4 linked regions of the Pelodiscus sinensis genome follow. The protein of the gene in region 3 purifies or fractionates together with the protein of the main gene of each other region. This does not show direct contact. Links are inferred from orthologs where the notes say so. Each region holds a gene or a part of one and is shown on either strand. Other genes may lie near its edges. The genes, in order: cyclic AMP-dependent transcription factor ATF-7, JDP2, JUN and NFE2L2.

Region 1 (7,071 bases), on a different chromosome or scaffold from region 3:
CCAAATCAGATTCTGGGATTGGAAGTAATTGATCCAAATGATCTCTATAAAAAAAAAGGCTACTGCAGATAGACATACAGGGTTAACTAACCATACTGCAACAAAGTTTGCACCTACATTTCTGGATTGGAACTTCCATCAGTTCAACCTTCTTTTTAGACACCAATAGCAAACAAACTCTTCAGTGATGGTCAAACTACAGCTACAAAACTGATTACGGTTGGCCAGAATGGTAGTTAATATGTCAGGGGTGGCCAGCCAATTAGACACTAAGAGCCAAAGAGCTGTGGATAGTAGTGCAAAGAGCCACACATCCCTCCCCCAGAGACAGGCACCCCCAGGCCCCTCCCATTCTAACCCAATGCCTGGGTCTGACCGGAGGTGCCACTGCATTTTTCCTTCCAGGAACTTAGGCACGTGCACAAAGCGGGCATGGAGCTCTGAATGAGCCCTAACCCTGAGAGCTGCATTTCTGTGAGCAAAGAGCCGCATGCAGCCACCCCTGTAACATGTATTCTTATGATCATGATCAAATACAAGTTCTTTAAAAATAAAGAGAAGGGGTATTAACCATGATTCCAACATGAGCAAATATAGCGTACCTTTCTAAAAATTCCTTGGTGTTCAGTTGATGAAGTTAATCTTAATTTTGTATCAAAACACTGTTTCACAGAATTGGTGGTTGAGAATTACTGTAACATTCCACACCACGTGAGACTATATTTAAGTGAACAGCCAATAACTATATTTCTCCAGTTTGTAAAGTGCCATGTAATTCTTTTGGACAGACCTATTGGTTTACAGTATGCTTCATGCTTTACCAAACAAACTGGAAGAAGTCCATACCTCAAAAGACACAATAATAAGAAAAGACATTCTGAGGAATCCAGAGAAAAGTATCCATTTTATTTTTATTAACTCATTCCCACTAAAATTTACTCTTCAGAGGGGCCTGAATATGCAGAGGATAGCTTCTTGGTGAATCACGATAGAGATGACAGTTCATAAGAAAAGGTACAGTTAGGAGAATGGAAAGAGGAAGGATGATATTGGTAGTCAACTGAATTTCAAAAGAGTGTAAACTACAGAAGAATCTGCTCTTAAAAATTTTAAATTTGATTAATCTATATTGATTTTACATCTGTCAACAGGTATTTTTATTTTCATGTAAGAAAAGTCTAACCTGTTGGCCTTTCTCTTTTAGGACAGGTGTGGAGAACCTCAGACTTGGCAGCCGTATGTGCCTTCCTCCCCCAGCTCGCGTGGCTCCAGCCCCCAAGCTACTAGCCAGGGCCCCCCTAGGCTCTGGTGTGCAAAGGGAATGTGAGCAGGATCTTTCTCCTTCTGAGTCAGGGGCTTCCCACTTTGCTTCTCACTTGTGTGTGGCCCCCAACTACTTTCTCTAGGGATCAGCAGCCCCTGCCCTAAAAGAGATTCCCAACCCATTTTAAGTTAAGGAGAAGAAGTGGGGCCCCCAAATTAATTTTAGTAATAAAAATGAAATTCTTTTGACAAACTAGCCAGTGAGATTCTACTAAATTAGAGCTATGAAACAGTCACCTATTATACCACAGCATGTAAGTGAAAGGAACAATTGTGGAGTAACAAATTAAACCCTCATTGCTTCAACAAGTTCTCAGAAAGTTTGAGCTCCCAAAGTCCAACAGCGGGAAGCAACAATTCTTTACGCAGTGTATCTATAATGTAAATAGCTATAATGTACAATGTAAATATTAAGTTTTCACGCTACTGTTGCTCAGACTGATTTAATTTGCCAAGGGATGGGGGAGGAGGGAAAATAGTCAGCACCTCCCAAAACTCTTTTCAGGAGGGGGCTATAAAACGGTGAATCCCACAACATGTATTCTCGGGGTTACCCCACCCAATCAGGTTTTTTGGGGGGGACCCCAAACTACCAATTCCAGGGGCCCTTCCCCCCAACCTATAATCTCCCTCACACACCCATTTTTACCAGGCAGCCCCAAGCCCTTACCCCAGCAACTTTAGGAAGACTCCTACCAAAACCCCCTAATCCCCCCGAATGGCGCTGCTGCTTAGGGCCCCTCACACCCCAACCACACAAGCCGCACACCCATAAGGGGCCCCACGTATCCCAACTACACAGCCCCCCCCCCGCACCCATAAGGGGCCCCCCCGCACCCCAGCCACAAAGCCCCCCCGACCCATTAGGGGCCCCCCTGCACCCCAACCACAAAGCCCCCCCCGCACCCATAAGGGGCCCCCCCGCACCCCAACCACAAAGCCCCCCCCGCACCCATAAGGGGCCCCCCCGCACCCCAACCACACAGCCCCCCCCGCACCCCAACCACACAGCCCCCCCCGCACCCATAAGAGGCCCCCCCGCACCCCAACCACACAGCCCCCCCCGCACCCATAAGGGGCCCCCCCGCACCCCAACCACACACCCCCCCGCACCCATAAGGGGCCCCCCCGCACCCCAACCACACAGCCCCCCCCGCACCCATAAGGGGCCCCCCCGCACCCCAACCACACAGCCCCCCCCGCACCCATAAGGGGCCCCCCCGCACCCCAACCACACAGCCCCCCCCGCACCCCAACCACACAGCCCCCCCCGCACCCATAAGGGGACCCCCCCGCACGGAACCCAGCCCCCCCACAGACATTTCCACCCAGACCCCCCCCCCCGGTGTCCTCAGCTGGGCCCCTCTGGCCCCTCCCCCACCAGCCACCGCCCGGGCCCCTCGGAATCTCCAGCAACCCTGAGCCCCGCCCACCCGGAGGGGGCGTGCCCCAGGCCATTCCCGGCCGCGGTTGGTTGCGGCGCCCGTCACTCCAAGCGCCCCGGCGTCCCGATTGGCCGCAGAGCGTGTCACTCACGGGAGGGGCCGGACTCTCACGAAAACTCGGGGAGTTCGGAGGGGGGGTCTCAGCGTCAACTCCGGGCCCCTGGAGGGCGGGGGCGGCGGGGGCCTCGCTCACCTCGAGGCCCGGGGGGGACACGGGGGCTGCCTCAGGTCCGCGCCACTGCCTCGCGCCGGCGGCGGAATCGGGCGCGCGCTCCGTCCCTCTCGAGCCGCCCCGAGCTCTCGCGCTGGGCGCCCCCTCCCTCCCTGCGCGCGAGACTCTCGCGAGACCCGCCGGGGGCGGGGCAAGGAACAAGGAAGAACCAATCGGCAGCCCGGGATGCGGGACACAGCGGAGGGGCGGCGCGCGGGGGGTGGAGCGAGCCCGCCCATCGCCCCCGGGGACACAGCCCCCCCATGGCCCCCCCGGACAGGGACAGAGCCCCCCCCATTGCCCCCCCCGGGACACAGCCCCCCCATTGCCCCCCCCGGACAGGGACAGAGCCCCCCCATTGCCCCCAGGGACAGCCCCCCCATCACTCCCCCCACATCCCCCCCGGGGACACAGCCCCCCCCATTGCCCCCCCGGGGACACAGCCCCCCCCATTGCCCCCCCGGACAGGGACAGCCCCCCCATCACTCCCCCCACATCGCCCCCGGGGACACAGCCCCCCCCATTGCCCCCCCCGGACAGGGACAGAGCCCCCCATCACTCCCCCCCATTGCCCCCCCGGACAGGGACAGAGTCCCCCCATCACTCCCCCCCATCACCCCCCCGGACAGGGACAGCCCCCCATCACTCCCCCCACATCGCCCCCGGGGACACAGCCTCCCCCATTGCCCCCCCGGACAGGGACAGCCCCCCATCACTCCCCCCACATCGCCCCCGGGGACACAGCCCCCCCATTGCCCCCCTCGGGACAGAGCCCCCCCCATCGCCCCCCCATACAGGGACAGCCCCCCCGGACAGGGACAGAGCCCCCCCATCGCGCCCCTGGACAGGGACAACCCCCCCGGACAGGGACAGAGCCCCCCCATCGCTCCCCCGGACAGGGACAGCCCCCCATCACTCCCCCCATTTCCCCCCCGGGATAGAGCCCCACCCATCGCCCCCCGGACAGGGACAGCCCCCCCATCACTCCCCCCCATTGCCCCCCCGGGACAGAGCCCCCCCATCGCCCCCCCGGACAGGGACAGGGACAGAGCCCCCCAACAACCCCCCGGATAGGGACAGAGCCCCCCCCATTGCCTTCCCAGACAGTGACAGAGCCCCCCCATTGCCCCCCGCTGAGGTTACAGTGACAGAGCCTCCTTCCCGTGGCCCAGACGTTGCAGATGTCGGCAGTGCAGGGTGAGTAGAGATGGGGCACCCGGGGAAGGGAGCTGAAGGGTTGTTCTAAGTCAACCATCCTTTGCAAACGTGTTGTGTGCTGTGGGACAGGGCGGGGTGGAGCGGGCCAGGCTGCTGGGCAACCCCATCTCCTGCTGCCTGTGGGGTGAGTGTGTGGTGGGGGGGTAACCCCAGCTGCCACCATGCCAGGGCCCTGTAATCCCCTGGGTCCCTCCCATCAAGAGGACAATTGAGGCTGCGGCCACAGGGCCCCCAGAAGCACAGGGCCTGGGGCGGCTGCCCCGATTCGTCCTGTTGACGGAATGGTTCTGGTTACCAGTCTGTGCCATGCAGGTATATGGCAGCCGTCCTGTGGGGAACGGTAGGTGTCCAAGTGCAAACGCCCAAGGGTGCAACATTATGTCGCGTGGGCCTGGGATGGGATGTATGGACCCTGCACTGGGCCTGCAAGGGTTAACCAGGCCTACCTGTGCGAGAGCGCCCCATCCCACAGCCCTGCTGGGGGGCAGGTGGAAAGGCCAGTGGAGGACCGTGGAGAAGGCAGGGGGTGTGTGTGGCCAGTCCTCTCCGGGAGGGCTGTAGATGGACTGAGCTATGGAGGCTGGCCAGCGGGAAGGGCTGCAGAAGCCCGTAGGTCGCAAGGGACTAAAGGGGAAGCCACCGCCTGCTGTGAACTGGGTAGGAAGTAGCCCAGGGTGGGGAATTGGATCCCTGAGAGCTCAGTGCGTTGTAGGCGGGTTCCCTGCTGAGCTAATGGTGGGACCTACCCACCACTGCCAGGGCCCTGGGCTGGGACCCGGTGGAGGGGGAGGGCCTGGGTTCCCCCACTCCATTAAACCCCAAGGGGTCACTATGGCTGTGGACGTTGCCTGCTCTGCCTTATTGCCCCATGAACTGGCAGTTGCTGTTGACTCAGGCTGCTGGGCCCTATTGCCCCGCGAGCTGGGTGTTGCTATTGTCTTTGACCACTAGGCTGGACTCCTATGGGAGAAGGGGTAGGAGAGGCCCGGGGGCAGTCAGGACTGACACTTGTGGGGTGGAACGTGTGTTGAGGGGGCTGGGCGTACCCACCGTGTGACAGGGCCATGTCTCAGTGTTCGATGTTACACCTTTAACTAGGTTCTTTAGTGCAGTGGTTTTTAAGCATGACTATATTGTAACTTGTCTTGTAGAAGAGCCTAGGAACCTTACGCATGGACTAGGACCTTCCTGCCAGGGAACAAAGTATTTCCATTCATTCAACATATGGGGCGGAGGGGGACGGGGGGACTAAAACTTAGGGTAGTTAATGACTTGCCTAAGGCCACATCTGAGCCTAAATTGGGAACTTTACCCAGATCCAATGTCCTGTTTACCAGTCATGGAGCTCAGCGAATAGGAATCGTTTGGTGGGTGTCACTGTAAGCCACAGCCACTCCCCTCCCCCCTTTAGGGTGCCTGGGCCACTAGCAGAGGTTGACTAGCTTGCTACTGTCTTGGCTAACACAGCTAGCTCTTAGCTCAAACAGGTGGGGACCCAGCTTCAATCTCCTCGCTCAGAGGTACGGCTAGCCCCAGTAGGCCAGCCAAACTTACCACTTCAACTTTCTAGTCCAGAAAGGCCCTGCGGGGAAATGTTAACATACGATTTAGTGCCAGCCACCCAGCACAACAGGTGAGGACAGGAACGTGCAGGCTGATTTACTCAGCTGATACCTTGAGGGAGCCAGAATGGAATCGCCTGGCCTGGAACTCCTCCAGGATGCCCTGAGGTTTGCACAAGTGCCATAGGATCCCACGTGCCTGGGAGGAAGGGTTTGAAATAACATGGGTATTTCGTATCCCGATGTGGTCAAGCGGATGCTAACATGAAGGAGAGGAGGGGGAAGCGAAACCAAAAAAAGCAAAGCAAAAGTGCCTTAGATACAGGAGAAGAGGGGAGCCCTGTGAAGTGGGGAGGCCTTGCCAACCCAAACAACCCTCCATGCGCTGTGCTCCAGCCCAGAAAAAACAAAGGCCCTTCCTTTGGTTCCCAAACATCAGATCCTCCGCCAAAGGGGCCTGCTGACCCAGTTGGAAACGTGAAATATTTGCGCCTCTTCCCTCCCCGTCCACTGCTTCAGTCTACGATTGATCACAGCCCACAGCTGCCTGATGGCCTTGGGCTTTGGTGTCAGGTAGTTACACAAGGGGAGAGCCACGCCATGCCCAGCCGAACGGTGGGGGTGAGCTGCACTGCCTATAAAGCAGTAATTGCCTTGTTAACAACACAAAGTGTCATCAGAAATAATAGGCTCCAAATTGGGGAAGATTAAGCAAATGCTAGGTAAGTGGGCAACATGCTACTTGCTATTGTTTCCATTAATTAAATTAACGAGCCATGCCACTATTCAAATGACGTGCCTGCTTTCTGTGCGCTCCAGCGGGAAAGCCGCAGCAGGCTCTTTGGGCTCACGGCAGCCTTCCCTAGGCTCTCATGACGAGGGAGCGGACGGAATGGGAAGTTGTCAGTAGACGCTTACGGTTAACTAGGCTGCCCGTATGTCCCAATATTATCAGGGCCTTCCTCTTATTAGGGCCTCTGTCTTGTATATGCAGTTATTACCCCCCCCCCCAAAGTGTCCCTTTTTTCATACTTGCTATCTGGTCCCCCCAAAGGTTAACACTGAGGATGTCCTTGGCGGACAGTCCCAACTGACTGGAAAGTGGTGCTGTTCCTATGGATGGGGGTACATTTAGATTGTAAGGTCTTTGGGGCAGGGATTGCCTTCTTGTTCTATTTGTACAGCACCTAAAGCAGAGGTGGGCAATCATTTTTGATGGGAGGGGGGCACTCCATGATTTTAGTAAGTGGTCAGGGGCTGGGATGGAGCTCGGGGTTGGGGCCTGAGGTGCAGGAGAGGGGGTGGGGTCTGA
Region 2 (7,411 bases), on a different chromosome or scaffold from region 3:
ATAGTTGACTAACCGATAAGAATTCATGAGGTTACTCAACTATTCAATTAACCAATGTTTAACATCCCTAATATCCCCAGACATCTCCATGTAAAAGCTAGCAAATTCCCAACACAGGCTTCTGGCAAAGGCCTCCAGATAGAAATTTTCATGCTAGTTTCAAGAAACATGCTAAAAATTCCAAGTCTGAGTAGCTGAAGCATTTGTCTCTTCTGTGCTTTCAGCGATCATGCACACTCAACACGTGCGCGCGCACACACACACACACACACACACACACACAGAGTTTGGCAGTGGTTGCGTTCCAGAGCTGGTAATACAAGCTATGAAGCAGGCTGCCAAGACAAGCAAAAGAATGAGCCAGGCCCCATTTCATTGGCCCACCATACACTGCATATGGCCCTGGAACCAGCCAAGAGAGTGTTCTCACCCTCCTTGAAGGCATAGGAGGGCCTGTGTTTTCAAATACACCTCCACAGGGCCTTCATTAAAAGCAAAATGGAAACATAATGTGTGTGTGTCTCTCAATATTTCTCCCTTTCCCCCAATTTGCTCTCAAAGCTATTTCCCTAACATTGAAACAGAATAATGCCTTCTGGAAAGAAAAAGCACAAAAGAATGTGACTTTCATTCAGTTCTATGTCTGGCTACTAAAATGGACTTGGGACTGAATGAGCAGAAGGAATCTCCAGGGGCTCCCTTTCCAGGGCACAGAGAGCAAGTAGGAGGAAGCACACTCATGAGGTAGCAGAACACATTGCAACCCTCCCTGTAACAAAACCAAAGTGGGCCTCCCAGAATTCAGATTTTCTTATTCTTAACCCACACAGCAAGCATTTAACATTCACTGTGTGGACAGGTGAACTAGAAAACAAAATCTGAGGAAGTAATAAAACCCACTATGGCACCAATCAGAAATGAGTTGTTACCGGAACCCATTAAAGCCAGGCATTAAAAACATAACGCTAGGGCAAAATACAGTGTTTGTTAACCTTGATTCCACTCTCTATGCATTTGTAGGTCTCATTTGGGTACACCTACATTGCACTAAAAAAAGCATCAAGTCTCAGAGCCTAGGTTAACTGACTTTGGTTACAGGCCTAAAAACTGCAGCACAGACATTTGGGCTCAAACTGTAACCTGGGCTCTGAAACCCAACCCCGGGCAGGGTTTCAGATCCTGTGCTCCAATCCAATCCTGAACATCTCCACTGCAATTTTTAGCCTCTCCCGCCCCTTCCCCTCAGCCTGAGCTGGAACTCTGTCATGGGTCCAGTGTAGGCATGTTGTTTATGCCTTTGTGATGTGCCCATCTGTGCAGCATCTAGGTGTCCAGGACATCAGTGAGAGTTTCTTGTACAGGGAACAGAATGTCAGTCAAAATTCAGGTGCATTGAAGAGGAAAATGCTGCAGGTAAACACAGTACACAGCAGGCTCTGAAGCCAACCCTCAGGAGGCTTCTATCTTTGTGTTTTAAGGTCTGTTAGCCTTAGCCCTATCCTATCAGCCCACTCTCCTTAACCTATCAGAAGCTGTGCCGACACCGAAACATGCATAAAATCCTAGCACCTAATGCTGCAGGATATAGGTGATGGAACTAGGGGTGCTGTTGCACCCCTAGCTTGCAGTTATTTATATCCTATTCTGGGTTTACATTTTGGTTCAATGGCTCTCAGAACCTCAACTGTGCAAATTGTTCCAGCACCCATAGCTTGGGCCTCACCTCCCCCATCCATCCCTTTCCTTTTGTTGTTTCCCTTCACTTGCCCAGCTGGACTGTAGGCTGCTGAGACCAGGGCCTTGTAAAGCCCCCACACTGTTGGCTTCTCAGAATTAAAAGTGATCAGTACCTGGCACTAGGCCCTACACACTTCAGAGCGTCTTCACACCAACCAATGTGGGATAGAGATAGGGGCCACACTTTGCCTCAAGCTTCCCTTCCACAAGGGACAGCCTGCCCTCCCTGACCAGCAGCCCCAGGGTGCAGTCATGGGTGGTAGCACAGAGGTGAGAAGTGGCTGGACATGGCACAGCAGCTCCCAGGGCCAGCACACATTCCGGAGCATGGCAGGCAGGCAAGGCAGTCCCTGAGGTCATTAGGGGGACACGCAGGCGCCCTGCTCTGGCCGCGGGGAGGGATGCAGGCAGTCACCAGCCCATGCCAGTGACAAGAAGACCCTGGACCCCTGAGCGCCCCCTGCATGTGCGTGAGAGGAACGGGCAGGACGGGGGCTGCAAGGCAGATCCCAGAGCACAGCACAGTCCGGGGGGCAACAGGCAGTAACGTCCCCTCCGGTCGCCGCGCCGAGGATGGGGGGAGAGGCCCAGAGCCCCCCAGGCTCCCGTGACCCAGGCCGGTGCAGGTTCCGGGCCTGGCTTTGCAGCTAGCCTGTTTCTTTCCCGAATCCCGGCCCGGCCCAGCTGCTACACCGGGAGGTTTTCCCAACCCATCGCCCCGTCTCGAGAGTCGGCCCCCTGTTCCGAAACTCCCCAGGTCCCACTGCCAGCCCCACACCGAGTTGCCGCGGCCTCCCGGCCCCGCACCGAGCCCCCCGTCCGCCCCACACTCCCCGCTCCGCCCAGACCCACCGTGCAGAGGGAGAAGGCGGCCGACGTGCCCCCGGGGCCCGGCTGTAGGAGCCGGAGACAGGCGACACGCTCAGCCCCTCCGCTGCCGCCTGGCTCCGGTGCTCTGCCCCTGTCCCCAGGCCCGTCCTGCCGAGTCCGGTCCCGGGAGAAGCCGGAGCAGCTGCCGCCACCGGGGCGCCTGGCCAGCAGCCGCCGCCGCCACAGCCGCCGCCCCCCGTCGCTGCCCCGGTGCGTCCTTCCCGCAAGCTGTGGCGGGCGGCTGGGTGGGTTGCATCAGCCCCGGTTATATAGCGGCCCCTGGGCTGCGGGGAGGGGTCGGGAATGCGGAACCGGCCGGGCTGCCAGCTCCAGACGTCAGGGAGGGTGGAGAGGAGGGGACCGCAGGGGAGGAGAGCGCAGGCCGGGGGTGGGACCAGCTCTAGAGACAGTGACCTCCAGCTCCCTCCGCCCGTTCACCGCGCTGCACATCCCCGGGAGCGAGAGCGTGCCGTGCCGCACACCCCTGGCGGCCTCCTTCGCCCTGCACCCGGGCCAGGAGGGCTCAGCTGCATGAACTCTTCTCCTCCGCGCCCTACATCCGGGGGTGGCATGACACATACCTCCTCCTCCTCCTCCTCCTCACGCCGTGCATCCCAGTCAGGAGGCTGGGGGGAATAGAGGAGCCGGCCGCATGTTGCGCACACTCCGCTACCCCTTTGAGCTGTAGATCGGAGCAGGGCTGGGGAGTCAGCTCCACAGCGTGAGAGAGGCGCAGCGCACACGGCCGGCGCTCTCCCCATGCAGCGCCCTCTTCTCCGCCCCCGGTTTGGGAGAACGGAAGGCGAAGAGGGAGGAATTGCCAGGCTCGCTGGCAATCAATGCCTGCCTCACCCCCTCTCCTACATTATCCACATCTCAGCCAGGGCAGGAAGGAGTTGCACCATGTTCCAGCCTCTCCACCCCATCAGGGGGGCAGGACAGGGTGCTCCAGATCTCCCACTGCTCATTCCTACCTCTGGGAGGGAGGGAGAGATCTGAGAAACAGATGGGACAGCTGAAGAGACCGTATCCCACCTACATGCCAGGGCCAGACAATGAGGAGAGAAAGGTAGGAATAGGAGGGCTGCAAGGAGACCCCCCCCCCCCACATCTAAGAACACAGTGAGCTTTGCCTTGCTCTCTAGCTTCACCATCATTCACATCTGAGGTGGAGCCTGTGTAGGCTCCTTTGCCATACACATACAAAGGGTCATCAACAGTTTTGTGCCCTTCTCTCCTTCATCCAGAACTCTTGAGATAGATGAAGAGACGGACGTTTAAGGCTACCTCCATCCAACAGCTGTCATCACAAAATTGTAGGACAGGAAGGAACCTTAACTGATCACCCTTCTCTATCATCTGGATCTCATGGAATACTGTACCTCCATATGTACATACCCACACATACGCTACTCTCCTCCTCTTACACTATATCCAAAGCAGACAAAGTAGCAGGCAGAAAAGAGTGCTAGGGTCTTCTAGATAATGTAGACACAATTATTTGACCCACCTCCTTCCTCCCCTGAGACATTTGTCACCTATCTCACTCACATTTGCCAGGTCATATTAGGTTTTAAGACCACAATAATCAGGCTTCAGGAGCATGGTGGACTTGTCACTGATTCTAGATATCCAAACAGCTCTAATGGCCAAAAGTCCTATCTTCCACTCAGATACATCTTTTTCTTTGATGAGGACCTCCTGAGTTCATCCCTTCAGTCTGCACAATGTAATTCCCCCTGCCTGAGACTAAACCTAAGAGATCATGTCCTCTAAGCAGGGCAAACTACAGAGATCATATTACACCACTGTTCCACAAACTGAACTGAATGTGCATTCACTTCCACTTTCTGGTACTGCTCTCAAAGCTTTTATTGAGACACATTAGGGATTCTCAGATTTTTTTTCCATAATGGGTACAAAAGTCTAAACTGAAAGATTGTCTCATACACACATTCACTATCTTCTAGCCCAGAGGTAGACAACTTTTTATAAGAACGTAAGAACAGAAGAATGGCCATACTGGGTCAGACCAAAGGTCCATCCAGCCCAGAACCCTGTCTGCTGACAGTGGCCAATCCCAGCTGTCCCAGAGGGAGTGAATCGAACAGGTAATGATCAAGCGATCTCTCTCCTGCCATCCATCTTCACCCTCTGGCAAACAGAGGCTGGGGACACCATTCCTTACCCATACTGGCTAATAGCCATTTATGGACTTAACCTCCATGAATTTATCTAGTTCTCTTTTAAACCCTGTTACAGTCCTAGCCTTCACAGCCTCCTCAGGCAAGGAATTCAACAGATTGGCTGTGCGCTGTGTGAAAAAGAACTTCCTTTTATTTGTTTTTAACCTGCTGCCCATTAATTTCATTTGGTTCTTATATTAAGGGAACAAGTAAATAACTTTTCCTTATTCACTTTCTCCACACCACTCATGATTTTATATACCTCTATCATATCTCCTCTTAGTCTCCTCTTTTCCAAGCTGAAAAGTCCCAGTCTCTTTAATCTCTCCTCATATGGGACCCGTTCCAAACCCTTAATCATTTTAGTTGCCCTTCTCTGAACCTTTTCTAATGCCAGCATATCTTTTTTGAGATGGGGTGAGGTCACTCCATGAATTTGGTAAGTTGTCAAGGGCTGCCCTCTTGGGGACAGGTATTGGGATGCAGGAATTGGATGGGGTCTAGGTTGTGACCTAGGGCAGGGGATAGGGTGCAGGAGAGGATTCTGATCTGGAAGAGAGGTGTAGGAGCAGGATACAGGATCTGGGAGAGAATTGTGAGGAGGCAGGGGTTCAGGAGGGAGTACAGAGAGCCTGAAAAAAGGTCTAACTTCTTCCTATGTACACAAGCACATTTTTCTGTGCAATTGCAAGGAAAACACTTATATGGACAAAGAAAACTGAACATTTGTCAGAGTCAACAATGGCTCCGCAAGAGGTTGGGAACAATAAAAAAATACCATAACACAAAATACAGTGAACAGATGATACTTTGAAACTATACATTTATTATTTGTGTCAACAAAATACTGGAATCACATTCATGTATTTTTGTGCTATACAGATTATATGGAAGGATAAAGGAAGTGGATATGAAAATGAGGCAGTACAGGCAGTCCCCGGGTTACATGGATCCGACTTACATCGGAACCCTACTTACAAACGGGGTGAGGCAACCCCGCACTAGCTGTGCCCCCTCCCCCACAGCAGACCAGGGAGACGCAGAGTGGCTTTTCTCAGCAGATACCTCAGCTTGAGAATAAAGGACTGAGGGAAGTGAGGTGTGGGAGAATAAAACTGAGCTCTGGAGAAATGTTTGGCTAGAGTTTCCCCTACAATATGTACCAGTTCCGACTTACATACAAATTCAACTTAAGAACAAACCTACCATCCCTATCTTGTACGTAACCTGGGGACTGCCTGTACAATAGACAGGAAAATATATTAAGTATACTTAATGGAAAGTTCTAAATAGAGAGACCCTACAGTCAACAAAGCAATTTTAATAGAAGGTAATTTGCTCCCAGTACTTTGGAAAGGTAAAACTGATGCTATTAAGTGGGGGTTAATTCATCTGGTCTGCGAGACCTTCAATAAGGGAATCAGTTATTTTCACATATTTTATCTTCCTTGTAAGTACATTCACAGAACCACCAAGGTATGCATTTTCTGGGAAAAAGTAATGGTATGATCGAATTCTTGTAATCTTTATCCTTTTTCATCCAGTGGCACTGGAACATTTTTAGTCACGAGGGTGCTGAAAGCCCCCTTACCCAGTGTCTACCACCAGCCATTCCCCTAGCACTGGGGCCAGGAACAGGGCTATCTCTCTGGGAGGAAGGGACCCAGGCAGAGGAAAGGGAGCAGAAGTTAAGGCCAGGGCTGGAGCCAGGCACGAGGCCAGCAGCCAGGACCCTATGCATGGAGCTGGTAGCCAGAACTCCTGTAAAATGTGGGGGTTCTGCAGCACCCATAATTCTCATGCCTATGTCCTCACCTTGTTGCTTTGAGTATCACCTTTGCTCCTGTCACAATTCACATTTAGACTGTAAATTCCCTGGAGCAGGGCTTGTGTTTTCCAATCAGAGCTGCTTATGTAACCTAGACACCTGGTGGGTGTGGTTCATTGTCCCATGTAGTGACACTTGGACTACTTACAGAGAGGAAGTATGAGTTTGCTCTAGGGCAGTGGTTCTCAAAGTGCAGTCCCCAGACGACAAGTGGTCGGTGGCCGCCTCCCAGGTAGTCCACAGCTCAAGCTCAGCCTCTCCACCCCCACACAGGAGGGAGCCCATGCAGCCACAAAACTGCAGCTCCAGCTTCCAGCTCCGAAGACACGTGGAGGTGGAAGGGGGTGGTGAAAAAAGCAAACTCAACCCGGACCCCACCCCCACCAGTGCTGGACAGTCTGGGGCCACCCCCCACCACTTTGTCACACCTCCCTGCCCCTTCCCCCAAGGACACCCTACCCTCCATTTTCCTGAACTCCCACCCAGCCACCTTACCCCAGCCCTATTCCTAGTAGCACCCTGCCCCTCATTTCCCTGAACCCCCTCAGCCACTCTGACCCCCAACTTTATCCCCAGGCACTCCCTGCCCCCATCTCCCTGCCCCTGGCCAATCACCCTACCCCAAGAACCTTCCTGACCAGACATCCTACTCCCAGCCTGCTCCTGCACCCACCCCCTGGCCAGATACCTACCCCCACCTGCTCCTTGCACCGTCTCTCTTGGTCACACACTACACCCTCCCTTGCTCCTGCTCCCTCCCCCTAGCCAGATACCCTACTTCCAGCCTGCT
Region 3 (7,730 bases):
ATAAAGATTATGTGTATGAGAAATTTTAATTTATCCCTCAAAAGGCCATTTAATTATTGAGATAATCTGTTTGCTTCTTGCAGCCCTGTATTGATGGATTACAGAACTCTTGAAATGAAAATCTGTATTATCGTTAGTCAAGGCATCTACCTGCCGCATCAATGGAAATAAACAGTTAATTTCCAGTTCCTTCTCACAAATGGCTCAGTAAGCCCCGGTTTACACTAGGGAATTATTTCAAAATAACTCCCCTTATTTCAAAATAAGGGGCTGGTTATTTTGAAATAACAACTCCTGCTTTCCTCGGGGAATAAGCTTATTTCAAAATAGTTATTTTGGGGGATATTTCAAATTTAGTTATTTCAAAATAATTTCCTATTGTAAACATGCCCTAAGTGTTTTTTCATCTCACTACACTAGTTATTTCATGAGATCAGGAAGGGGCTAAAGAGTGCTAAAGTAATAGCTGATTCAGGAATCTAGTCATCTACCATTCCAAGCTCTCATGGCCATGGAGACTCAAAATCTCTGCACCAATAGGGCAGATTCACCTTTTCTGAAAGTATGTCTACATTGTAAGAGTGAATGTGTCTCCATGTCCAGGTAAATAGCTATGTACATGTTCTGCTCATGCTAGTGCACAAAAATAAGTATGGATTGCGTGACACAGGCAAAGGGTTGGACTAGCCACTGAGTATGGACTCTCAAGGATGGACTTTTTTATGGGCGGCTAACCTGTGTTGCTATCTGTGCCACACCCTTCACATTGCTATGTTTAGCACACTAGCTTGAGCAGAGCTAGTATGTGTCTGTCTATGGGTACGTCTACACAGCAACATTATTTTGAAATAACTAGCGTTTACTCAGCAGGCAGTTATTTCGAAATAATATCGAAATATTGTCAAGCTGGAGGACTTTTTACTCTGACTCCTGTGACACTCATCGTACAAGGAGTAAAGGAAGTCGGAGGAAGTGCTCTATTTCGAAATAAGTGCTGTGTAGATGTTCCAAATTTCAAAATAAGCTATGTAATTGACGTAGGTCAATTTGCGTAACTTATTTTGAGTTAAGCCCTGTTGTGTATATGCACCCTAACAGAACAGCGAGGTACAATCCCAGCTGGAGTGCACACAGACTCTTCAGTTTCATACTACTGAATGAATCTCAGTTTGTCTGCTGGGTGCTAAACCAAGATTCTCAATCTTACACTGAGCAGACAGCCATCATTCATTTCAGATGAATGATATTTAGGCTTGGTTGAAAAAGCAGGAAGAAACAGACAGCCAAGAAACAAAGTCACATTTTCTTTGGTTTCAAAGCTGTCCATGTATACTCAGCATTTATGACCAGCTTGACTGTCTGTTGCTCAATTTCCCAAATACCCTCTAAGTGAGTATCAGTTAACATAATTAATGTTTGATGACTATCTGCCCTAGCAATAGGCCATGGCAGCAACTTGTTCCCAGTGAAACTGGAATGACCTACTTTGACCCCGTCCATTTCTGAAACTCCACCTTTGTGACAGGAAGGAAGTCAAAGCCTGCCTGCAGCAAAGTGGGTGAAAAAACATGAAAAAAAATTCTACACAACAGTATACTAGCAACCCACTCCAATACTCACTGAATCAATGGAAAACTTGTGTTGACAACAGGGCTGTTGGAACAGACCCGAATGGAGCAATAATCTGTTTTTCAGTTCATACACATAAAGTTGACTAAAAAGAGGCCTGAATGGTACATTGACTTCCTTTTTTTTTTTTTTTGGCATTACATCTTAACTTGGGTGTGTAATGTTAATTTGTTAATACCCAAGTAGTTATATACATAAATATAGTGTTTCTGGACAAATTCAAGATTACTGCAATCTTATTTAACACTGTTAAGATTTAGAGCTTATCTACGTGAGGAAAATTGACTGGAATATCTGTTTTGCAATAAATCCCCATCCAAATCCTCTAATTCCAGAATAGACACACCTTTAACGTGCCTTTAGCCCAAACCCTTAGCTATATCTAGGTACCTAATTTCTATAAATTTCAAAGGGACTTAGGCACTTAAAAACCTTTGACAATCTCGGCCTTTCTCTGGTTTAATTTAACAATGGGTTAAGCAAATGCAAACAAGGTGTTCTTATTCTGAAATAAGTGTCCACAAAGGGAATTATTTCAGAATAACTAGTGTTTTAAGCTCACACTCTTCCTTTTACCAGAATAATATCCACTGTAAAAAAAAAACCTTTAAAAATTTGATAATTGTACTTTGACACAAAAGATTACAATAGCATCAGAGCTGGTAGTGAGTAAAATTAAACATTTCCCATTGTTAAACAGACAAATGAAAACTTTGAAATGTATCTTTATGAAATATAAGTTTATTTGTAACATCTTGAGTGTAATTTTGATGAAGCAGGGAGCCGTTAACATTAAATTAAACAATTAGGCTGTGTCTATATTGGCAAAATCTTGCTGCCTGTCTACACTGGCTGGGAGTATCAGCGCAAGAACACTAATGTAATGTACAAAATCAGGGCTCCCGTTCCCGCTCAGGGATAAGTCCTCTTGCACAAGTGTACTTGCGCAAGAGGCCAGTGTAGACGGGCAACATCAATTTCTTGCGCAAGAAAGCCCGATGGCTAAAATGGCCATCAGAGCTTTCTTGCGCAAGAGAGCATCTACACTGGCACGGATGCTTCTGTGCAAAAGCAAATCTTTTGTGCAAAAGCACATGCCAGTATAGATGCTCTCTAGTGCAAATACTTTTAACGGCAAAACTTTTCCGTTAAAAGTATTTGCGCAAAATCATGCCAGTGTAGATGCAGCCTGAGTGTGTCTAGCATCGAACAGGCTGATAACAGATTTCGAGACAAATGTATATGCAATGACACTTCTGATTTGTTAAGCTATTTAACAGTTGGAATTCTGGCTGCATGCTAGCACACATTTTAACTTTTCTGGAACACAGGAATATCTTGGTTACATGTACTATGGCAAGACATAGAGAATAATAGGCAATATATTCAGGTGTGAGTTTAGAATTTCACACTAGGAACTATTACTCCAGATGCTACAAAGTGTACACTTGTTCTCTGTACACCAATTACTTTCCAAAACCGGCAGTACTAGCTCTTTTGCAAGTTAATATACTACTCAAATTCAAGTGGAGGACACTAGAAAAAAAATGTCAAATGGAAAGAAGAAACTGGGAGATCATTTAGAAAACTAATGGACTATGATGTTTACTTCTGCTTTGGGTTTGTATTTCTTTTTAATCCCATTTGAAAATTTAACCAATTGTTATGTCTGGAACAAGAACAAAAAAATCCTAGAATGTTTCCCTTTTTCAAGTACTTGTTTAATCCATGAAATAACAGTCCGTTTTGCATTTAAGACGTGATTTAACAGGATGGCCACATTCTCTTCTGGAGTACACTGGCAAAGTTCCATAGAAGTGCGTCGATTTACACCACCAGATAATTTGATCTACGTAACTTTTATAATTGCTTTACTTGTTAGGAGCGTTGGCCACGTGTTTCTGCTCGGCAGAATATGATATAATAGTCTTCCAGCTTCTTGCCCCGTACCCGTGCGCCGGGTGGTGTTAAGCAGCTGCTCCCTCCCACCTCAGCGGTGGTGACATCTCAGCGCTGCCTTATTTGCAAAGAGCTTTATAGATATTCACAAACGCTGCCTCCCCACAAACTAGTGAGACTGGTCGGGAGGAGGCAGCCCTGTCTGGGTAGCAATGTGCAGCACCTGCCAAGAGCGGCAGAGCATTGGCGGGGGTGGGGTCGCTCCGTGGGAGGGCGAGGACACTTTTTTCCCGCGTTTCCCGGAGCGCTGCCGCATCCCAAGAGGCGCAGCACTTTGCAGAGGGTAAGGTCGCAGGGTGGGGAGAAGCCCTGGCACGTCGCCAGCAGCACGCCCCCGCCAGCGAGGCAGGCGCGGCTCCCGCTTGCCAAAGGAGCCACGTGGGCTCCGCCCCGTCCACGCTCCGCAGGTGCCAGGCGGGAGCTGCCAAGGTTTGAATGCGGGAGGCGGGAGCCCGGAGAGCTCGGGCCCGTAGCAGGACCCCGATCGCGTATCTCAGCCGCTGCTTCCCGAGCAGGCGCCTCCCCTCCCCAAGCGACAGCGGCTGCCCCCGTCGGAGCCAAGCGGCGCTCCCCCGGCGCTGGGCAGCGCTGCCGGCCGGCCCCAGCAGGGAGGGGAAGAATCACGTGCGGCTCAGGGTCATCCCTAAGCTGTCCCCAGCCTACGGCTGCGCCCAGACGTCAGTGCCACCTTAAGGACCGTACCACCCCACGGGGGGGGAGGGGGAGTCAGAATGCAGCCTAAAGCGAGCCCCGACGCGAGGCCCTCGATGCACCCAGCCCCCTGCTGGCAGACTGAACCGTGAAGACTCAAGCAGTAGGATTGATTAAAAACTCACTAGCCACCCCGTGTCCAGGGAGCAGGTCGGTCTGTGTGCCTTTCCCACCCCCCCTCCGTCCACAACTTGGTGCTTGCTGCCTATTAAGGAGGCTCCCCCTTCCCAACCCCGCGCGTCCAAGCGCTCTTCAGCGGGTAACCAGAGATTCAAAAACAATACGTCAGCCCACAATGCCCCGCGGTGAGCACAAGCATTACCTCATCCCACAGTGCCCTGCGAGGGAGCTGAGAAGCTTCTAGGGGTGGGGTGACCATGGAGACCGGCTCCTTTGCAACAGGCCGGGCCAGCGGCCCGCCACCCCCCTGAGGTGCCGCCGCAGCCAATGGGAAGGCCGCGGGGTGACATCATGGGCTATTTTTGGTGGGTTACTGCTCGCTGATAAGTGTTGGGCTGCAGGCCGGGAAAGGGCTCAGAGTGTGCGGCAGGCACCAGGGCAGCAGCAGCAGCACTAGCAGCGGCGGCGGCGCCCAGCGCGAGAGGCGGGCACGGCAGCGCGCGCGGTTAAGTGCCTCGGGTTGCGGCGGGGACCCGGCCAGCGCAGCCGCGGGAAACGTGGTCGCCGCGGCGGGCGGAGCTGGAAGCCGAGACAGCGGCCGCCCGTGGAAAAGTCCTTGGGACAGCTCGGGGGTGCGGCGCGGCGAGCCGCGGCTGGGACAGCCCGCCCCAGGGGCTGCAAGCGCCGGGCGCCCCAGGCACCCTCGCAGCGGGAGAAGAGGGCAGCCGAGAGCCTGGGTTTCTGAGCCTCCCACCCCGCGCGATCCGGAGGGGAACCTGCCTGTCGGACACTTACTCCGGAGTGAAACTAGAGCGAGGCTGGATTTCTGCTCCGTTCCTCGCCGCGCAGCGCCGTCCCAGACACCACAAGAACTTGACACCAGCGCGGCTGCGACTCCGCGCTCAGGCTGACTCGCTTGTTGTGGTTTGAAAAAAGTTGAGTCCTGACCCGCGGAAGAAACGGGGAAAGACCCGCCAGCCGCTGCCCTGGGGGATAAAAAGAAAAAGTAAGACTCGAGCCGATCGTTACTTTTCCAAAGCTTTTTCGTTGTTGAGTTACACCGTTGCCGTTTTGTATTGAAAAAGGTGAACTTGCTTTGAACGGGACTTGGCAAGCAAACGAGTTTCTCCCTGCTTAATTGTAACTGCTTCAAAGACAGTTTGGTGGACTGTGTTCTATGACTGCAAAGATGGAACCTACATTCTACGATGATGCCCTAAATGCTACCTTTGTACAGCCAGAAAGTGGTGGTTATGGATATAATAACCCTAAAGTCCTGAAGCAGAATATGACACTAAATCTGGCTGATCCTGCCAGCAACCTGAAGCCCCACCTCAGGAACAAGAATGCTGATATTCTTACCTCCCCAGATGTTGGTCTCCTGAAGCTGGCATCTCCTGAACTGGAAAGGCTAATCATCCAGTCCAGCAATGGCTTGATCACCACTACTCCCACCCCAACACAGTTTCTGTGTCCCAAAAATGTTACTGATGAGCAAGAAGGGTTTGCTGAAGGTTTTGTGAGAGCTCTGGCAGAGCTACACAATCAGAATACGATGCCCAGTGTTACAACTGCTGCCCAACCAGTTAGCAGTGGTATGACACCTGTTTCATCTATGGCTGGCAACAATGGTTTCAACACCAGTTTGCACAGCGAACCTCCAGTGTATGCTAATCTCAGCAACTTTAACCCTAGCGCACTCAGCACAGCACCTAACTACAATGCAAACAACATGGGCTACCCACCTCAGCATCACATTAATCCACAGATGCCAGTGCAGCATCCCAGGCTCCAAGCTCTGAAAGAAGAACCTCAAACTGTACCTGAAATGCCAGGAGAGACTCCTCCACTGTCCCCCATTGATATGGAGTCACAGGAGAGGATCAAGGCTGAGAGGAAGCGCATGAGAAACAGAATTGCAGCCTCCAAATGCCGGAAAAGGAAGTTGGAAAGGATTGCCAGATTGGAAGAAAAAGTGAAAACTTTGAAAGCCCAGAACTCAGAACTGGCATCCACTGCCAACATGCTCAGAGAACAGGTTGCACAGCTTAAGCAGAAGGTCATGAACCATGTCAACAGTGGGTGCCAACTAATGCTAACACAACAGTTGCAAACATTTTGAAGATACTGACTTGGGGTGAAAAATCTATGATGTTGCAGTAGAGCAACAGAAAAAACAAACCCATAACAAGTGGCAGATTCATAAAGCTAATGGTAAAGGCTTGAGAGGCATTGAGTCCTGCTTGCACCCCACAAAGTACATGTGTGGAAAGACTGGCGAGCCTTCAACAGAGCTAGTAGCAAAACAGCACCACTCTGAGAAGTGCTGTTCCTGCTCAGATGATACATCAGATCTTTGTTTAATATTGACCAAGACCTGCATGGACCTAACATTCGATGATCATTCAGTATTAAAGGTTAAACTGCAATAGAGACTGTAGGTTGCTTTCTGTAATACTCTTAAAGAAAACACAAATGGGAGGGAGGTTTGTGGGAGGCTGATAAAAACAAATATACTGCCTGCCTTCAAGTAAATTGTGTATGTACATTTTTTTTATTTTATGAAAGCTGATTAATGTCAATAAACAACTTCATGACTTTGTAAATTATTTTTATGTTTGTGTTCTGTCCAGTAATGTTTGTAAATGAGGGTTTTTGAGCACTCTGAATTTACCATTTGTAATAAAGTATATAATTTTTTATGTTTCTGAAAAAAGTCCAGAAAGGTTCTATTATATTTAAGAAAATATAAAAGCATTAATAATGCATTTCCTTCCCCTCTTCCCTCCCTCCCCCTCCTTTTTTACCAGTACCTAAATCAGGACTCGTATCACACATGCTGAACTCTCAGTGGTAGAGAATGTTTAACTTATACTGTAACAAGAAGACACGTTCTGGAGAATGTGTTCAAGTGAAAAGATAAACCATACCCTGTAACATGAACAGCAAATAATGTATGTATTTTAAGTGTTTTATGGATTTAGTTCAGATTGGCTTGCCTGTCATAATCCCATATCACAATATAGACAATAGCTTTAAAAATTAAGCAGTTTGGGGGGGTTTGCTATTTGCATCAACTTGCCCTGTCCTATACTAGTCTGAACTGTAACTATTTCATATTACTTATTAAAATAATATCCCCAACACCATATTTTAGGTAGGAAATTTAACAAAAAGGTATCCTTCAGTACTGTCTAATTATTCAGAAATAAGAGGTGGTCTTTGTTCATGAATACTTGCTGTCACAATAAAATTCTGTAATCCCTTTCCCTATGTTGAAATCTTTACCCTTTTAGACATTTGAATATTAA
Region 4 (7,964 bases), on a different chromosome or scaffold from region 3:
TACATGAAACAAAGGATGACATAAGTTACTTACAGAAGTGTCTGGAGAAACAGGCAATGAAAGCTAGCATTGACAGAACAAAGGGTTAAACAAGAAAATAAATGAGTACACTGAGGCATAGGCCTTTTCTGGACTACAAACTTATGCTGGTATAATGTTGCTCAGGGTTCTGGAATATCCACACCCTGGAATGACATAGTTACACCAACTTACCCACTGATGTAGACAGCACGAAAGGGCTTCTTTTGCATGCATGCTAACGGGACATGCTCTCCCATTGGCATAGGTTGTGTTTTCAGTAACTGCTAATACAGCCATGCTGCTGCAACACTGTAACTGTAAATAAGCCCATAGTTGCTAAAGCCCTTAAAGATGAGACCAAAAAAAGCTTGAATTTTATGCAGTGCATAAGTTGGTGCCAGTAGGAATTCAGAGGGGAGCTAGCACAGTCAAATAAACCAAGAAAATTACTTTAGCAGCAACATTTTGCAAGGAATGAATGGGTGTCAAGAGGGGAGGCCAGACATGAGGCAATAGTAGTAGTGAAGCTAAAAAATGATGAAGGCCCAAGAGGAACTTTTTTAAGAACAGAGATACAAGAAGCAATATTGCAAAGAGGGACACATCTCAAGAGTGGGGAGGTAGATGTGTTTGATACATCCAGAAAGGTGTAGCTGAAACTTTAAGAGTGGATGCTGTCCCCTAAAATACTCGCTCTCAGCCTTTTCAGACTACAGTAGCCCTTTCAAGTGTCTGATTTGTTTTACGTACCCCTACGTTTCATGTCACTTAAAAAAATCAGACATAAAAATACAAAAGTGTCACAGCACACTATTACTGAAAAAAAAACCACTCATTTTCTCATTTTTACCATATAATTATAAAATAAATCAATTGGGATATAAATGTTATACTTACATCTTAATGTATTGTATATAGCGGTCTATAAACAAGACATTGTATAAAATTTCAGTTTGTACTGATTCTGCGAGTGCTTTTTATGCAACCTGCTGTAAAACTAGGCAAATATGTAGCTGTGTTGATGTATCTCCTAGAAGACCTCTGTGTACCTCCAGGGGTACACATATGCCTGACTGAGAACCACTGCCTCAAATTAATCTGGTGGGATATCTAGCCCCTGAGAAACAGCTATCTAAGCTTCTCTTAAGTCTGTGATCCAGATCAGAATGAACCTAAACAATGGACATAACATTTGGAATACATACATGTAATAAATTTAGGAGTAAAAAGTTTGTATTTCCCTATAAACAAGAAGGGGGGGGGGGGAGAAATGAACACAAAACATCTGTAAACTAAAATTGAAGAGTAAACTGGTTTAGTTCTCAACTATTCCTTCACCCTTTAAAAAATGCATTTTTTAAATAAAAGAGTGAAATAACTTAGGATAATTTCTTCTGCTTTTAGACAATTGATACAACTGATAGCACAAGACTATGAAAAAGAATGTCATTATATGCCCCTGAAGAGACTTGTTATGAAATGAAACTGCTTAACTTTACATATATTTTATGCAGAAACATGATAAAGAAACTATCAGAAAAAAAGTTGAAAGAATGTTTAATATTTAAAATTTATGTTCTGATAATTCAGAGATTATACCCTCCATATATGCTGGTTTACACATTTTGAAGCTGCACCAAAAGGCTAAATCCAAAACATAACAGCCCCAGGGAAATAAATGATTGTGTAACAGCTCCAACTTGTTCCTGGCTCAGAACACTAGGGATCTCACGCTATCGAGCAGAAAGGGCCCTTTTAGGGAAATTGTGACAGACGATAAACTTTTAACTAAAGCCAAAAGCCATCCACACAAGGATAATGTATCCAAATAAGAAATTAGATGTGGGGCCTTAAAATTTAAATGCAGTGGCATGTTTAATGAGGACTAAATCACACAGATCCAGGGGGTCTCCGGAGCCACCAGGGATGCTGAAACAATATGTGTAGTAGAGGTGCTGACCAGGGGATGTCAATTCCAGGCCCTCTGCTGACAGAGTCCAGGCTCTCCCAGGATCTATCAGAACTGGCTGGGCTCCACTCCAGGCTTCGCACTCCAGGCTTCGCTCTGTTCCAGCCCTGGTCACTGGGCTCCCTGCCACCAGGCTGGTTCCACTGTTAGCCCCAGCTACCTGACTCTTGGCTCTCCCGGCCACTGGCCCTGCAGCCCTGTTCCCAGGTCCTGCCCCGCAGCTGTTGGGGATCTTTGTTTCAGCAATATCAATGGCCCTGCCAGACCACAGATCAGAACCCTGGACTAGAGAGTTTCTGCCTGTACAATGATATCTGGTTAAGATTTCCAAGGCAGACTTATTTAAATTTGTTGAGTGTAGATAATGTTTGCTAGGGCTACTACTCCTTACAGCTAAAACTGAAAGCCATACATTTTATTTACACCCAGGGCCTAGACATTTTGTTCACACCCCCACTTCCTCAGTCAATAGATTTTCAGGAAATCAAGAGTATCTAGTCTACCTCTCTGGGAGGCCAGCCTCATTGTTCCTGACCTTCCCATGGCCTTTTGCCCTTGAGGCAGCTGGTAAGATTGGCTGGCACCACAGACCTGGTTAAAACCAGGGTGGCTGTTACTGGCATCATCTCACATCACATTTCAGGCCTCTTCCAAGGGGCTGTGACATGGTGCAGATGGGGAAACTGAGTCACCAAAGGGTAAGTCCCAAGCTCGCAGCAGAGGACACTAGTTTGGCGTAAGAACCCCCGGGCCGTGGTCCCCCTGACGCGCCACCGACCCCAGGGGGCTCCGCGCCAGGCTGCTCCCTTGGCCTGGGGGCCGGCAGGAACCGTGCGCGGCCCGCCTCCCCCGGGCGCCCGGCCGGTCCCGTGACTCATCACGTTCCCGGAGCAGGGGAAGCCGCGCCGATCTCGAGAGCAGGGGCGGGGCCGCGACTCCTGCTCCCCCCCCCCCCCGCCACCAGCAGCCCCCCGCTCCGGCGTGTCGCCACCCGGGCGGGGCGGGGGCTGCCCCAGGGGAGACACGTGCCAGCGGCCCCCGGACTCGCGGCCCCTCCCGGCGGACTCGGGGCCCAGGCCCGGCTCTCACCTGCGGGGCGGGCAGCACCTCGATCTCCATCCTGCTGGCGGCAGCCGGCGCGTCGCCCCTCGCTCCCTGTCCCGGTGCTCGCTGCGACGCTGGCGGGGGAGTGAAGCGAGCGGCCCCGGACAGCTGGGACAGCGAGCCGCCTCCCGCCCCGCCCCGCCCGGCCCCAGCCACTCACGGCCGCGGCAGCCGGGGAGGCGGCCCTTGTCCCAGTGCCCCGGCAACTTCGGCAACGGCGGCCGCACGGAGCAGCGCGGGGGCTGGCCCGGCCCCGCCCATCCTCACATCCCCGTCCGGCCCCAAGCCACCCTGGCCCCGTCCGAGCCCCTGCCTGTCCCCCCAGGGCCTGCTAGAGAGCAGCGTCCCGGCCCTCTCCCCTTCCCTCGCTGCCACACGCCCCTGTGCCCCGTCTTCTGCTTCCCCACCCCATCCCAGCCATAAACCATCCCTTCCCTCGCCTGTCCTCTCCCATCGCTGCCACACACACCTGAGCCTCGGCCCCATCTTCTTCCCTCTCTCCCCAAAACCACCAGCCCCATCCCTTCCCGAGCCTGTCCTCTCCCATCACTGCCAAACACGCGCCCAGATGTCTGCGTTGTATGCTCCTAGGCACAGCATCATTAGCACCTGCCCCTGCCTACAGCTGACTTTTGTGCTTTCTCTAAAAACAAAAAATGAAATTTGTAAACCACTTTAAAGTTTTGTAAACTTTAGAAGGGCAGCACCCCAAGGCACCTGAGTACTGTGCCTAACTGGACATCTGGCTCTGTGTGTATGTAAGCCGGCGCACGCGCACACGCTCTCTTTCTCTCTCTCTCTCTCTCCTCCCCATCTCTCCTGAAAATCACCCACGTCCATCAGCTCCCACAAACTATCCAGTTATTCCCAGATTCTTCTTCATTCCAACAGATCTCTCCTCAACCTATTCCAATTCAATTCCGATTCCTCTCTATTCCTACCACATTGTTTCTCATCAGATCCTTTTTCAGCCTGTCAATCTTGCCACAATAAACTAAGTCTTCCCTGATTTATCATAACTCATCCCATCTCCAAGTCTGACAGAACCCTGCCTGCCTGATCTCAGCAGATTCCAACATATCAGAGCCATTTCCCCCATCTCAACATATCTCAATCCAGCAGATTCACCAGATGCCTTTCCAACAGATTCTGCAACATCCCAGCTGACCAACTCTTTATACTAACTGACCTTCCCCAGCCATTCCAACTTATAGTTGGTAACTAATATAGCAGCTTAATAATGAGAGGAAGGCTATATGGAAATTCCAACACATTTCTCAAAACTCTTAATATAAACTGACATCCACCACTCCTGAGACTCCCCTTCCCCCCCAATACCTAATATAGGAGTGCTCTGAGTGACTCACCTCAATCCTTCCCCACCACTCAAGTTAACCTTGTTTAGCTGCATGCTACCCACAAAAGAATTATTACTTTACAACATTATTTTATTCTTACCTCTAGACATCCTGTGCTGTTTAGCTATGGAACCGGGCCATATCTTGCAATGTGAAGCAGCACATCAATGCATGTATGGACCTACTTCCATGAAGAAGTGTGCATGGTGCAGTTTTATTGTCTGTTTTCACAGAAAGTATTGGAAGATATAGGTAAACTCTGTTTTAGTTGAGTCCACAGCTTTTGGGGGTTTAAAGACATTACCTTGTTCTGTTATGCTAGCTCTGTAGTTGTACAACCAAGTCTCACAAATTATGCACATTCAGTTCTTGGAAGAATGGCCTCTAAGAGAAACTCCAGAGCTCGGAAAGTATTTGTAGATTTAGTAGATAGCACTGTTACTAATCCTAAAACAGTGCACTAGCAGAAGATGCTGTTTTTTCAGAGAGGCCATCTTTCAAATGAGATCCTGACTACTTTTGATAATTAAAAGATTCCACAGCACTTTTAGAAGAATGGGTGCATTAATCCTTGTGCACTGGCTAGATTCCGACTGAGGTAATTACATTTTTCCTGCTTTAATTTCCTCTGAAATTTAAATGTGAGACAGGATTCTTCACTTCTTAATCTCAAATGTTGTTGTATTCTGTTCAACACCTGTTGTGTAGCCTCATAGAAGGTCGAGCTCTTCAGCAGTTGGTGAAAATAAATCTTATGTTAAATTTGTGGTCATTTGGGGATAACAGTCACTGTAAAAATGCAAGATGTTGTATTTGTTAGGAAGTTATAACAGGTCAAAGCCACTATCTATAATGCATACACAGTGGTGGAACTAATGGTGGTCTTAGGTGTATGTGTGGCTTCCTTTAAAGTCAATAAATATAATTGAAGAGAACACTGCTAATAACCCCTCACCCAGCCTTGCTCTGCACCTGCTGAAAACATGGCTCTATTCCTGTGCTTATTCCTGTTCTAAATGATCCAGCTTACTGCAGTGGTGTGGACACATTTTTTAAAAGTGGTGGTACTGGGACCCCTTATCCCTGTCTGAATCCCCTGCTGAAGCTGGGTGTGGAGCTGGCAATTGAGCACCCAGTGCACGGGGCTCGAGCTGGGACCTTTGGGCGCGAGCTGGCAGCAGAGCCCCCAGCATGTGGGACCTTGAGATTGGGGGTACTGCAGCACCCTCCCACTCCCGAAGTTCCCATGCCTATGGCTCACAGTGCTATTTAATCCTCTCACATCTACTACAATAAAGAGTGTTGCTCTGGTGGGACAAAACATACAAATGAATGTATGCAATGTCAGATGTTAAAACGATAGCTGTGTTAGTCTAGTTCAGCAAAAGCAACAACGAGTCTGGTGGCACTTTAAAGACTAACACATGTATTAGGGTATTAGAGCATAAGCTCTCATGAGCTACAGCTCCTCAGACACTGAAGAAAAAAAAGAGAGAAAAAAGAGGGAGGAAAAGGACACAGAGATGGGACTATGACATCAGTACTAATTAAATCAGAGTGGATGTGGCTCATCTCCAACAGTGGTAAGGTGTGAGTACCTGAATGGGAAATTACTTATGTGTAATGTAAGAGTAACATGAGAATCAGTCCATGTGCCAAATTTGCATTATTCCCAAGTCAGCAGTTTCTCCTTGCAGTCTGTTTTGCCTGAGAATAGCAACTCGAAAGGCTGAAATTGTGTGTTCAGGCAGGTTAAAGTGCTCCCCCACTGGCTTTTGTATGTTACCATTCTTAATGTCTGATGTGTGTCCATTTATTCTTTTGCATAGACAGATGGTTTGTCAGATGTACATGGCAGAGGGGCATTGTTGGCACATGATGGCATATATTACATCAGTAGATGTGCACAAGAATGAGCCTTTGGTGGCATAGCTGATGTGGTGAGGTCCTGTGATGGTGTCACTGGGATAAATATGTGGCAGAGTTGGTAATCCTTTGTTGCAAGGATAGGTACCTGGATTAGTGTTTCTGTTGTAGCATATGAAGTTTTTGGTGGGTATTTATCTCAGGTTGGAGAGCTGTCAGTAAGCAAGAACTGGCCTGTTTCCCAAGGTCTGTGAGAGCGAGGGATCGTCGTTTATGATAGGTTGTAGATCCTTGATGATATGTAGGATAGATTGTAGCTGAGGGATGTAAGTAATGTCTATGTTATGTTATGTTATGTTGCTTTCTTTGATGGGTCTGTCCTGGCTAGCCACTTTATCAATCTGTTTCTTCACTTCTTGAGGTGGGTATTGGAGTTTTAAGAATGCTTGATAGAGATCCTGTCTTAGTCTGAGGGATTGGAACAAATGCAGTTGTATTTTAGGGATTGGTTGTAGACAATGGATGGTGTGATGAGTTTTGGATGAAAGCTGTTATTAGGGATATTACATTTAGATTAATTGGCTAATCGAATAGTTGATACAATTTACATCGGCTATTTGATTAGTCGATAAGGGCACCTCCACATTTGAGGTGAAAGAGCTGCAGGGAGCTTGGAGCCATCAGGAGACTCACAGTGTTTCAAAGTCTCACAGCAGGAGACTCTCAGTACCACAGCGTTTCAAAGTGGCAGAGCTGCATGGAGCCTGGGGTCAGCAGTGGAGTCTGCAGGCTCCATGTGATGCTACCACTATGAAACACCTCCGCCTCTTCTGATAGAGGCAGCAAGGTGGGGGGGGGGGGAAGCAACTAGTCGATTAGCGTGTCAACTGTTCGATAAGCATTTGCGTACCTGATAGGCGACTAGTCATTCACATTCCTAATTATTACCAGATATTTGTCATTGTAATCACTCCATAAAATAGAATGTAATGTTTCGCTTCTCTCTCTCACTAGCATGTCTACGATGCATGTTTATTGTAAATATAGAAAGCCTGTAGTGTAATTATATACAACTACACATCCATCTGAAGAATGTAAACTATAATCAGAATGTCTTAATTACATGACTCTTTTGCTAAATATACCAGGTATGTTCATCTGCAATACACCTGCTCTGCTATGGAAATTCAGGTAGAACATGTTGCACTGTCTATGAACGTATTAGGAATGTATATGGAGAATAGATACGTTTTATCACTGCATGAGGAGGTATGTCTATGCAGTGTTATTGTAGCTGCATTGGTGCCAGGGTTTTAGAGAGACGAGCTAAGGTAATATCTTTTATAGGACCAGCTTTACGTGCCAAGGAAGACAAGCCTGTGAGAAAAATACACCAAGCATTCTCGTTATACCATGTCCTTGATTTCAAGGAGAAATATTGCATGACAGTATCACAGCAATTGTGATGGAGGACCAGGAGCAAAAAAGTTGTCAGTTTTTTCCTTTCACTGGTCAATTCCAGTTTTCTCTGATCCAAGAATGACCCCACTGGCAGCTGAACCCAGATTGAATGTTGGAAGCCCTGGAGAAACAAAGTTTTAAAAGGGGAAAAGACCTGTCAATGCTAAGAAAACCTTTTGACTCTC

The links.
Region 1: the proteins of JUN (region 3) and cyclic AMP-dependent transcription factor ATF-7 purify together in Homo sapiens (affinity purification with mass spectrometry; 3 studies listed by BioGRID and IntAct, with this or other methods). This does not show direct contact. The link is inferred for Pelodiscus sinensis from reciprocal best matches to the Homo sapiens genes JUN and ATF7.
Region 2: the proteins of JUN (region 3) and JDP2 purify together in Homo sapiens (co-immunoprecipitation; 3 studies listed by BioGRID and IntAct, with this or other methods). This does not show direct contact. The link is inferred for Pelodiscus sinensis from reciprocal best matches to the Homo sapiens genes JUN and JDP2.
Region 4: the proteins of JUN (region 3) and NFE2L2 purify together in Homo sapiens (affinity purification with western blotting; 4 studies listed by BioGRID and IntAct, with this or other methods). This does not show direct contact. The link is inferred for Pelodiscus sinensis from reciprocal best matches to the Homo sapiens genes JUN and NFE2L2.

The regions. Positions count from the first base shown.
Region 1 is NC_134729.1:544,168-551,238, forward strand, and holds the start of cyclic AMP-dependent transcription factor ATF-7, read right to left. Parts: upstream 3,100-7,071; 5' UTR 2,962-3,099; exon of another isoform or gene 2,860-2,961; intron 1-2,859. UniProt on the Homo sapiens protein: Stress-responsive chromatin regulator that plays a role in various biological processes including innate immunological memory, adipocyte differentiation or telomerase regulation.
Region 2 is NC_134714.1:43,859,034-43,866,444, forward strand, and holds the start of JDP2 (jun dimerization protein 2), read right to left. Parts: upstream 3,146-7,411; 5' UTR 2,590-3,145; intron 1-2,589. UniProt on the Homo sapiens protein: Component of the AP-1 transcription factor that represses transactivation mediated by the Jun family of proteins.
Region 3 is NC_134719.1:14,319,502-14,327,231, reverse strand, and holds JUN (transcription factor Jun), read left to right. Parts: upstream 1-4,688; 5' UTR 4,689-5,596; coding exon 5,597-6,541; 3' UTR 6,542-7,686; downstream 7,687-7,730. UniProt on the Homo sapiens protein: Transcription factor that recognizes and binds to the AP-1 consensus motif 5'-TGA[GC]TCA-3'.
Region 4 is NC_134717.1:45,625,986-45,633,949, forward strand, and holds the start of NFE2L2 (nuclear factor erythroid 2-related factor 2), read right to left. Parts: upstream 3,142-7,964; 5' UTR 3,110-3,141; coding exon 3,080-3,109; intron 1-3,079.